Linked DNA regions of Arabidopsis thaliana. The protein of the gene in region 1 interacts with the protein of each later gene in a pairwise test. Each region holds a gene or a part of one and is shown on either strand. Other genes may lie near its edges.

What was found.
Region 2: the proteins of HB25 (region 1) and HB21 interact in a two-hybrid assay, tested with the Arabidopsis thaliana proteins (one study listed by BioGRID).
Region 3: the proteins of HB25 (region 1) and AtHB23 interact in a two-hybrid assay, tested with the Arabidopsis thaliana proteins (one study listed by BioGRID).

Annotation. Positions count from the first base shown.
Region 1 is NC_003076.8:26,134,219-26,138,115, forward strand, and holds HB25 (homeobox protein 25), read left to right. Parts: upstream 1-1,783; 5' UTR 1,784-1,960; coding exon 1,961-2,800; 3' UTR 2,801-3,336; downstream 3,337-3,897. UniProt on the Arabidopsis thaliana protein: Putative transcription factor.
Region 2 is NC_003071.7:8,048,747-8,053,087, forward strand, and holds HB21 (homeobox protein 21), read right to left. Parts: upstream 2,571-4,341; 5' UTR 2,468-2,570; coding exon 2,380-2,467; intron 2,140-2,379; coding exon 1,802-2,139; intron 1,154-1,801; coding exon 917-1,153; 3' UTR 625-916; downstream 1-624. UniProt on the Arabidopsis thaliana protein: Probable transcription factor.
Region 3 is NC_003070.9:9,354,004-9,358,010, forward strand, and holds AtHB23 (homeobox protein 23), read left to right. Parts: upstream 1-1,823; 5' UTR 1,824-2,122; coding exon 2,123-2,228; intron 2,229-2,309; coding exon 2,310-2,680; intron 2,681-2,945; coding exon 2,946-3,236; 3' UTR 3,237-3,499; downstream 3,500-4,007. UniProt on the Arabidopsis thaliana protein: Probable transcription factor.

The DNA.
Region 1 (3,897 bases):
GGAGACAAATCCTCTGTGTGTCTCCACGTAGGAAAGCGGTTTCCCGCCAGCTGACAAGTAACACGTAAGCACGTCATCTCAAACGTCTTTCAGGAATCCATTTGCTTCATTTCCTCCTCTTATTAATATTTAGTCGGTGTTTTATATATTTTCAGATCTTTATTTTTCTTGTAACATAAAAATTACACTTTTTTGTTCATGTCAAATGAGTTTTCATTATTCACTCTTAAATCTTAATCTCTGCTTTGAAATTTGAGCCGTACAAAAACATTCGCATTTATTGTTGATGCGACACAGATGTTACTTTTATTTTATTATACTATTATTCTGAAGGAACGGTCAGCTGTATTTTTATAGTATAATTTTAATTTAAATCATCATAATCTGGTTATTGAAAAATTATTTCATTTTCAACTTTTTATTGTTTTATAAGATTGGAAATATTTGAATATTGATGAGAGCGAATGTTGGTTTCCTTCTCGAATTCTCGTATACCAATGCTAATATTTCTTTAAAGAAAATACTCCATAGTATGTTTTTTCTTTAAATTTAATTAGCTACGTCAACAAATTTTTTATATTTCTCACAAATAACTTACGTAAATTCATCATGCAATTTTGTGTTGACAAGACCAATGACCCTCGACTGAATTAATGAAGAGACTAGTCGTTAAAAAAATAATACTCAGTTATATGAGTATATAATAGTGCTGGTCGTTTAAAGAAAACAGTAAAAGCATAGTGAAAGGATAAAAACTGTCGTCGGAGATCTAACGTCAGCATAAGTTAATCAGAGGCTGAGAAATGATCATCTCATACGTTTCGTCTTCACATTTGCAACTAATCTACAAGTATTTAATGTATCATTAAACTTTTGTTTACTTGATGACACAAAATAAAACTAAATAAAGTTTTATTTTAGTGTTTATATATTTATACTGAATTATTTAGTAATAATTCTGAAAAGTTGACAACAAAATTCAGACCTTGAAATTATTAAGGGCATTACTGATTTTGATGTGATTAGACTGCCCATCACTTTATTGCAGAAAAATATTAATGCATATATTTATGCTATTGGCATATGGACAAAAATAATTATCGCGTTTATTTTGATTCTATCCCCTTTTTTTTTAGTTTCCCAAAAAGTTATCTCTAATATCATCTCCTCTCTCTTTTTGTTTTTTAATCCTACACTAAGCTTTTTGTATTGTTGTATTGTCCAAAAATAACAAAAGCTTATGGAAAACTTGTAAAACCCATAAGCTACCTAGTGTGTTTTAAGATGAGCCCTAGAACTACTCCTGAAGAAGACAAACATGTTTAATTATATCATTTTAATTCAAGATTACATAAATAAGTTTTTAGTGTGTCATTTTTAGAAGAAAATTAGTAATATTTCGTTCAATTTTCACATGTAGGTAACAATCTTTACAACTTTAAGTAATAACCCAGGAAAAAATAAACAGTAAATGGAATCAAGTAAACACGAACTCAAATCAATTTCTTTTTAACGTGTCTTTTTATATCATAAACATGGTTAAAATTTGTGATCTAATACAAGAATAGTTGACTAAAACAAATCATGCATGGTCAGAGCGATACGACCAAATTGAATAAAATAATAGGAATATATAATTAATAAGAAAGTATAATAGCTCTTCAAGTAAAATTAGAAAGAAAGAAAGAAATAATGCAAAAGATAAAGAAAGCGTTACAAAGTGTGGTTGAGGACAGATTATATTAGATTCCGATTTCCAATAAACAAGAAATTATATAGCAAAAATAAAAGATAAAAATAAAATAAAAACACTTCTCAAATCGGCAAATCCAAAAGAGAGAGATAAAAGAGAGAAAGATAATCTCTTTAATGTCCACATTATCTCTCTCTTCTTCTTCACCTTCTTGAGAAACCTCCTCTCCCCAAAAACGACGTAGTTTCACATTTCTCGACTTCTTGAATGGAGTTTGAAGACAACAACAACAACAACGACGAAGAGCAAGAAGAGGATATGAATCTTCATGAGGAAGAAGAAGACGACGACGCCGTTTACGACTCTCCTCCTCTCTCTCGTGTTCTCCCCAAAGCCTCGACAGAAAGTCATGAAACCACCGGAACTACTTCCACAGGCGGTGGCGGAGGATTCATGGTTGTTCACGGCGGTGGAGGGAGCAGGTTTAGGTTCCGTGAGTGTCTCAAGAACCAAGCGGTGAACATAGGAGGACACGCGGTCGATGGTTGTGGTGAGTTTATGCCAGCTGGAATCGAAGGTACCATCGACGCTCTAAAATGCGCCGCTTGTGGCTGTCACCGTAACTTCCACCGCAAGGAATTACCTTACTTCCATCACGCGCCGCCACAACATCAGCCTCCTCCTCCCCCGCCAGGGTTTTACCGTCTTCCAGCTCCGGTTAGCTACCGACCACCACCGTCACAAGCTCCTCCTCTTCAGCTCGCTCTTCCCCCTCCACAAAGAGAGAGATCAGAAGATCCAATGGAGACGTCTTCAGCTGAAGCAGGAGGAGGGATTAGGAAGAGGCATAGGACTAAGTTTACGGCTGAGCAAAAGGAAAGGATGTTAGCTTTAGCTGAGAGGATTGGATGGAGAATTCAGAGACAAGACGATGAAGTGATTCAGAGATTTTGTCAGGAGACTGGTGTTCCGAGACAAGTTCTTAAGGTTTGGTTACATAACAACAAACACACTCTTGGTAAGTCGCCTTCACCACTTCATCATCATCAGGCTCCTCCTCCTCCACCACCACAGTCTTCGTTTCATCATGAACAAGACCAACCATGAATCTTGAATTTCTTTGATCACTAGGGTTTTAATTTAGCTTAATTAATTACTTGAGAAATTTGAGAGACAAGGTTTTTATTGTTTAATTTATGTACCCATTTTCCTCTTTGATGATGATGTTGATGATGTTGGTGATGATCTTTAATTTCTGGTTAATTATGTTTTGCATTAGTAGCTTTTTAAGTCTCTTAGCAAAATCTTTGATTGGTCTGACTATAAATTACTGACGTCCTTATTTGCATCACATTTGTCAGTGTTTGAATTTATCATGTTTTGTGTATGAATCTATATGAACTTGATCCTGAATATATATGTACATGTATTTTGTGTATGCATTATTTATGTCTTCTTTAGCATATGATTTCATTTTTATTTTATTTTGTGCAGCCTAAGCTTTTACTTGTTGACATTGTTATATATTGTTTCTTAAGTTCCTGGTGTTTTTGTGTGTTATTATATTTGACTGACCATTATTTTCACCCACACACACATTTGTAGCTAGCTAGATCTGATAGTGTTCTTGTTTCTTAAGTTCTAGGTTTTTGAGTGTTTATATATTTTCTTGATCATTTTTTACCACACATATCTAATGATAAATTGGTTATTGTCATAATTATATCTTATGTGGGATTCTATATATATATATATACTTGTCATTTAATTGTCCAATGAGTGTAGGACTCAAATGTGGATCGGTCGGAATTTCCTTGGGATGGAGATCTCTGCCCTAAGAATTAAATAAGTATTTCAATGGCTTATATTATTATCATATATGCGTGAATTAAATAATTTTTTTTTTCCATTGGAAATGAAAAAGGTGAAATAACATCAGCTAGCTGCGGCAACAGTATTCTGATTCCTGGGAATTAATTCTTCACTTAAAAAAAAAAAAAAAAATTAAACTCAAAACATGTCGATGCATCCAAAGCTTCTTATATCCTCTTTATGTCTTATATTATATGTATATGTATATTGTTCTTTGAAGATCTGGGGAAGAAGGAAACATGTGGGCTTCTTTGGAAGCAAGAAGGAGAAGATAGGAAAACATATGGGCACACATACATTACTGCATTAATGATGTTCTTCTTCCAAATCCC
Region 2 (4,341 bases), on another chromosome or scaffold:
ATGATAAAAAGTCCTTAAAAGGCACCACATAGTTTATATAGCTCATATAACGTTCTTTAAAGAAATAAAAAACATATGTCCACCGTCCATGTTGAAACACGTACTTAGCAACCTGACAAGAAGACATGCTTTAGTTTCTATCAGGCTATAGATTCCAATGACCAATAGTCCGTATTCTAAACCGTACAAATTCTTATACGTATCATACTATCACGTATTGATGATGCGTAAAGTTGCTAATGGAGACGTTCACTGCAAATAAAAGAACATTCTTCCCCATAATGTAAAATATGCGACTTAAAAAATATCAAAATATTGACATACGCAATTCTTAATACTAAGCTCAATTTCTTTAAATAACTTATATTTTTACATGATAAATAGGAATAACAAAATAATTCTTCTTTATAAAAAAAGAAAAATTCGTAATACATTCTCAAACTGGTTATACGGTTTTGTTGATTGATTGTAGCATTTTTGTTTTCAACATATCCAATTTTTAAAGTGTATCTTGTTAGTTAGATTGTTGGTTATCCGGGTATTAATTTTAGAAGATATGTTTAACGATGTGAATGTAGTACTGAATACAATTTGGATGCTTTGACATTCACATGAATGATAATATTTATGCTTAATATTTCTATAACTAGATCAATAGAAATATACAATTTACTTATAATTGACAGATATATACATTCTTTTTTTCTTGGGTCCAAACTTGACCTCCATCGACCTAAATAATCGATGCTACGAGAAAGATATCCACAATATTACACTAGCGAATAGGCCCATAATTTTATCTACATCCTGCTTCATTGTAGATATCGACCAATCATAAATTAATGTAATTGTCACAATTAACCCCTATATATTTATATACTATACTACGACTGAAAATAGATTAGCTTATAGTTTTTTACATAAATTGGCTCATCCAGTCTAATCCATCAATGTAATCTGGCGAGTAGAGCAAGTTCTCGTCAGCCTCACCGTCAAATCCGATGTCGTAATCTCCAAAAAACGGTGTCGTATGATTGGCTTCAATGGTCACAGAGGATGAGATAGGACTGTTACTTAAAGTTCCTTCAACTCTTTTTGCAAGCCGTTGGATCTCTCTTTCAGCCTCGTAAAGTTGTTCCTTTAGGTGAATAACCTGAAATTATAATTTGATTTGATTTAGAGATAATCATTTCCCATTAACAGCTAATCATGTTATTATTAGAGTTTGATTTGATGAGTTTTATTTTGTGGGGCTGGTGATAAGAGAGACCCAATGAGTCAATGACTTAGACAAGCGAGTAACCACTAGAAAACAAAGGGTGTTTGTACGGAAAGATAATTACATATAATGACACTTTTGTTTTTTTGCTGTTCACTTTGCTGTATGATTTTCTTTTATAGAACCAAGATAATTACACTACAATTATTAGTTTACATATATTACTATTTTAGCTATAGAAGGTAACAAAAAAAAAAACTTTAAAATTCAATCAGCATTTTGATTTTTCTTTCTCATTTGCTTAATTATACTACGTGATGGTTTCACTTGGTGTCCATCATCTTGTAAAAACAATATAATTTAGAAAATATCTTTATACCTTATAGAAAAAAATAACAACATTTTTTGGTAAAACACTATAATATTTTATGTTCACAAATAGGAACTCTTGATTAAAAGAGAAAAACGGGTAACTTTTATCTTTGATCAACTTAAATAAAAGCTATAACTATATTATATTTAAAGATTATTAACCAAAATACCAAATAATTTACTTATCTTTTAGAAAATGTGAGAACGTACCTCAGAATCAAGACGACATTTCTCAACGACGGTGGTTTCGTATGCATTCTTGAGTTTAGTGTATTCATCCTCGACTCGTTTGTTCTTCCACCGTGCACGGCGGTTTTGGAACCAGACGGCGACTTGACGAGGATCAAGCCCTAACTCAGAAGCAAGCCGATCTTTCCTCTCGGATTCAAGCTTATGATCGTCTTCAAAGCTAATCTCCAACATTCTTACTTGCTCATCACTCAATTTTCTCTTTCTAAACCACCCATTGCCTTCGTTTTCACCCTCCTCTGCCACCACAACACTCTTGCTCTTCCTTTTCCTCCGCCGTGTTGGTTTTGCTTCTCCTCCTGGTCAAAGAAACCCATCAAAACCAATGGTACAACAAAACATAAATTCTTTAAATGTTTAGCTCTTTTAAGTCTTCTCTAGTATCATGTACGTATATGAAAATGAAAAGACTACAGAAGACAAACATATTATCCAGAACAAAAATAAAGAAGACCCACTTGAAGATATTTCTATAACCAATTTTGGATGTCTTTTTTAATATATGAAAACAAAAAAATGGAACTTTAGGATGTGCAAACCTTGTTGTGGTACTAATGGAGTATAGACATTAGGGTACAATTGAGAAATGAGTAGAAGATTATGATCATCTACATTCTGGTTATTCATGTTTCTTCTTTTCGTTCTCTAGACCTTCTTCTTCTTCTCTCTCTTAGATTCAAAAGATTGGTGATGTTTTTTGTCTCACCTTTTCTGCAATAAGAGAAGATGTGTTAGGAGAAGCAGAGGACTTATCATTTATAAAGGAGGAGTAGGTGTCAAGGGATGGTTTGATTAGAGTTTTTTTTTTTCTAATACATATTTCTTTTTTCCGGATTTGGGCTTATGATTCTTTCAAATAACATTATTGCCACTTAGCAAATCAAGACTAGTAGTAGATCTCAAATGACATATGTACATCACTTTCGTTAATATCTTAATAGTTAATATTGTTTCATATTGAAAATACATGACTTTAACTTGACAATATCATTTTCTTTGTCAAATTCATGTGACAATAAGTAAGAGACCAAAAAAAAAAAAAAGAATAAACAACCTCCCAATATTATTTGGACTATAAAATCATTTTATGTTTTTATAATTTGGTAACAATTGATAAATGGATCATTTTATGTTTTTATATATAAAATAGAAATCTTAACTAGAATTGAAAATTTATAATGCGGATATATTGTTTACGTAGGAATTTTCTAAAATATGCAGCCTATAGTTCAATAACTTTTCAACTAAACCGCCGTAGTTTAATTTATTCGATCTTTGTTGTAGATCTTACACTTTGTTGGCAATTTGGAACCAAAACTCACTTAATTACTAGAGCTCCTAAATAGTGTGTGTTTTGACATACAAACCCTTGATTATCTTAAGAAGCATAAACAAGTTAATTAGTTCATGTAAATTCTTATCAAAACAAAAAAAGTCTTATGAAACATATTCCATTTTTAAAATGCTTCTTAAGGTATGGATATTAACACGTACGTAGTCTTTAAAACCAAAGCAATAATCAATATATAGGTCGCCTTTGAAAAACTAAAGGAAATACATGTAATTATCATTTATAAATATGTAATGCGATAAAGCTTAATTTACGTGTGATGAGAGGATTAGAGGATGTCGTTATCACCATCATATGGATAAGTCTAAGCAACAACCTAAAAGAGAAAACATAACTGACTTGTCTTTCAAAAGGTAGTTTACTTTTACTCTCATCTCTCGTATACTAATAATTTTACTCACTCTTTCAAATGTTTTCTTTAATCGGTTTTTAAACTCGAAACATATATGGTCTACGTTAATGTTAACGTTTATTTTGTTGTATAGCCAAAATGGAAACACATTTTAGGTTATTCAGAGTTTAAAATAATAAATACGAGGTAATCGTTTTTCTTTTTAGCAATGATCAACATATATTTTGAACATACGTATGCATATGTACATACTGTAAAAATAACATTTCATAAATAAATAACAATATTCTGCATATAGAATCCATGTAAAACCGTGGTAAGTTATATTCAAAGAACAAAGTAACCTTCAAAATTTGGGTTTAATACATATACCTTAAAATTCAAACTACTCTACCCATTTTGAACAACTATTTTGTTTTGTTTTCTTAGAAAACGTTTTTACAAATGTTGACATACCCAGATTATATCTTTACCCATTTTGAATAATTGTTTTTCCTGTTTTACATTCTGAATAATTTAGATATATATATGACTTAATGTTATATATATATATATATATATATATATAGATATATTAAAATAAAATATATAATTTTAATATAGAAAATATATATATTGTGGAAAAAATGGCTAATTGTTAGTGAACGAGACTTCAGTGAGATCTACAGAAGAAGAATCTCAAAGATCCATGAAATTTAGGTCAAATCGGTTGAGATTTTAAAACTTAACTCTATGATACCATATTAGTGAACGAGAATTTGAAAAAAAAACGAAGAAGATGAAATTATTCTGTTATTC
Region 3 (4,007 bases), on another chromosome or scaffold:
AACATGCGAAACTCGGACTATCCAGTCCTTTGATGAGAAGCCATAGCACAAACGTACTAGGAATGACAACAGATGAGAGTCTTCTATCCCTGTCGTGAGAAAACCAGCCACCAATTTTGAATCTACCTCAAGCTCCAGCCGCGTTATACCCTTCTCCCAAGCTATAACCAACCCGTAGTACACACCCCAAAGCTCTGCTAACGGAGCCGTGCACCGCCCTAAATTCAGGGCAAAACTTCCTCGCCAATCCCCGTACTCGTCCCGCAAAGCTCCTCTTTTTCTGTTATTGTAGTGTGTGATTTGGCTTGTTCTCGCAAACATATATACCAACATTAAACAATACTCAAGTTTGTCCCCCCAAAAAAACTAATACTCAAGAAAATATACAAGTTGTTTTTCCATTTCAACAATTGGCCTTAGCCATATGTGTATACTACAATTTAAGATTGCATAATACATTAAGAAGGAATAGGCTTGCAATGTGATTTTTTATTAAGCAAAAAAATGAAAAAATATATATTTTGTGTACACCTTTTGATACTAAATGAAAAATTGAGCATATTTATTTATATGCGTTTGTTTGTATGTCGTTGAATTGCACTTTTCATATCTCATGCAACATAAAAAATTCATAGAATAAATAGTTTATGCTTTTAGATAAATACAATTGAGGTTAAAACACACAAAAAAGAACAACTCGTGGTAATTTATAAAATAGTTTCAACAAAAATATTTAAACTTGTAGAATATAGACTTGTTGATTACAAAATGATTTGATAGGGAGACCAATTTATACAGTAGTTGGGCCTATATTAAAGTATTTTATCATAAAACCGACCAAAACGTCTAAGAAAGTTGATAAGTGGGGGACCTGAGAAAGAGAAGAAGAAGAAGGAAGAAACCGGCCTCGCATATAAAATGGGCTTTGTGTCAAAACACAATCTGCGGTGATGAAGAGCTTTTTGTGTCCCCCGAAAGTATGTTTACCTACCATAGAGAAAAAGTCATGTTATGTTGTAAAAGGTTTTAAAAAGAAGAAGTCTAATCATATCATAGACTAGTGAGAGTTACCATGTAGGACCTTAGAGTTTGCTTTCATTTCATATCATTGAGACATAGACAAGTGATACCATGTAGGGCCTCTAAGAGTTTGCTTGCATATACTTCTTGACGACCAAAATCACTAGTTTTAGTTCTCGTTAGAAATAAAATTCCATTGACTTGAACACTTATGCATGCAACCATCCAAATGCTTATGTAGGGCATGCTGTTAAAAGAAATTTTAATTAGATATCAACTTTGAAATATTTCATTAAGAATATCAGTTTTTTTTACATATCATATTTAAATTCAACTCTTTTTTTGAAGAGAAAGTGGTAAGAGTATCTAGATCTATAAACTCCCAAAATTTGAAGTATTTGTTACAAATACTCAAATTGTTCATTACGGTACATATTTAATTATACACATCTGAATTAAATATATTCACAATAAATTAATTATGATAATCTAGTGGTTGAAAAAATTACTATTAAATTGAGTGACCATAATCTAATCAATTCACTGTAATATCAATCATGGTTGACCACTGTAAACATCTTAAATTGCAAGAATATGCTATCTTTCACAATGTCCGGAGATTATTATGAATTTCGTTTCAAAAATTCTATAATAGAAAAATATACATATATAATTAGTATGACTATGATATATCTGTCTTTCTATTCGTAAAAAACAAGAATTATCTTTAAAAATACTTGATATGAAAAACTACATAGTACATATCCGTAATCTACCAAAACGGATACAACGTAGTAAAATTAGGGATTTTCCAAAACATACAAAAGCCCATATTCCACCCCTCCAAAGACTATAATCATCCCATGTCTACCTCTCTGTCTCATCGGCTTTGAGTCTTGTCTCCTATTTTATATACTCATATAATAAACAAAATAAAACCAAATTTTCTAATCTAGCTAGTATTTAGCCTATAAGTGGTGTATACTCAGTCTTCTAATTCATTTCACCACCATCCTTCTTCTTCTTTATTTAGTTTTCTTTCTGTACTTTGAACCAAGACAAGGTGGTGGAGAGGAGAAGAAGAAAACAACCAACAAGAGACATGTCTTGTAATAATAATGGCTTAGCTTTCTTCCCTGAAAATTTCAGTCTCCAAAACCATCACCAAGAAGAAGAAGATCACCCTCAACTTCTTCAAGACTTCCATGGTACATCATCTCAATTAACACCTTTGTTCAAAATTTCTAATCCTTTTTTTTTCTACTTCTCAAGATCTTCTCTGTTTTTAGGGTTTCTAGGTAAAAGATCTCCAATGAACAACGTGCAAGGGTTTTGTAATCTAGATATGAACGGAGATGAAGAATATTCAGACGATGGATCTAAGATGGGAGAGAAGAAGAGGAGATTGAACATGGAACAATTGAAGGCACTAGAGAAGGACTTTGAGCTTGGTAATAAACTTGAATCAGATCGAAAATTAGAGCTAGCTCGTGCCTTGGGATTGCAACCTAGACAAATTGCTATATGGTTCCAAAACAGAAGAGCTCGATCCAAAACCAAGCAGCTTGAGAAAGACTATGACATGCTTAAGCGTCAATTCGAAAGTCTCAGAGATGAGAACGAAGTTCTTCAAACTCAAAATCAAAAGCTTCAAGCTCAGGTAAAAGCAGAAACTTCATAACACAAAAGTACTCTGTTTCTTTTTTAATCTTAAATACTCTGTTTTTTAAATCATATATTTCATAAAATATGAATCTTTTTTAGTTGAATTTTATAAAAACAATGCTCTTTTTTGTTTTTTATTGATGTTATTCTTTCAGTTTCGAATTCATAATTTGGAATATATTTGTTTTAGGTCAAAACATAATTTGGAATCATTTTGCAATTTTACGTTCTTTCTTAAATAGTTTGTGTAAATTATGCAGGTAATGGCATTGAAAAGCAGAGAACCAATAGAATCAATCAATCTGAACAAAGAAACAGAAGGATCATGTAGTGACAGAAGTGAGAACATTTCTGGTGACATCAGGCCACCGGAGATCGATAGCCAATTCGCCCTAGGCCATCCACCGACAACTACAACGATGCAGTTTTTTCAGAATTCATCGTCAGAACAGAGAATGGTGAAAGAAGAGAACAGTATCAGTAACATGTTCTGTGGAATTGATGACCAGTCTGGGTTCTGGCCATGGCTTGACCAGCAACAATACAATTGAATGTGGTCGATCTGTTCTTGTTTGTATTAAAATTTTCGTTTTCTTTAAGTGGTCAGATGAACCAATTCATGTTTCAAGAATCTATATTTAGTCTATATGCACCAACTAAGCTAGTAGTTTTTTTGGGTAATGTGATGTAAGAGAATTAATGGGGGAAATATTCATCATATTATATGATAATTAATCAATCATATGGGCCATATGATTAGACATTAAAAAAAGTCTGAACCATGTGCTTTTATATCGTACAACTAATATCCAGAAAACTCTAAGAAATAAAAATTTTAAAAACCCACCCAAAAAGACTTTTCCATGAAACAAATTATGCTTATGTCATAATTAAGTCTATAAGATGAACAAAAATAGAAGACATGATCTTAAAAATAGATCATTAATTACGATTAGCGGTACAATAAACTGTAGAAATCATATAGTTAAATGGCACGGTTGAAGTAAAATGTGAAGTGTGTGAAAGAAAGAGCATCAATTTACAGATTCCGAGGAGAGGATGCAAACAAATAGGGTTGGAAAGTGGTCATTCTCTTTCTGAAAATGGACCCAACACTTTTTACCCTTTCATCGACACTGACATTGCCCGACGACTCCAAATTTGTTATTCATATAAGCCATCTCTTAGGCTATGAATGGTGACATACACCGTACCCAAAACCGCACCGCAACAGTGTCAAAATCTCTACATATACATATGTATTTATATATTTTTGTTACTATTTGAACCGCACCGCACTTCTTCCGTACCGCAAAACGCAG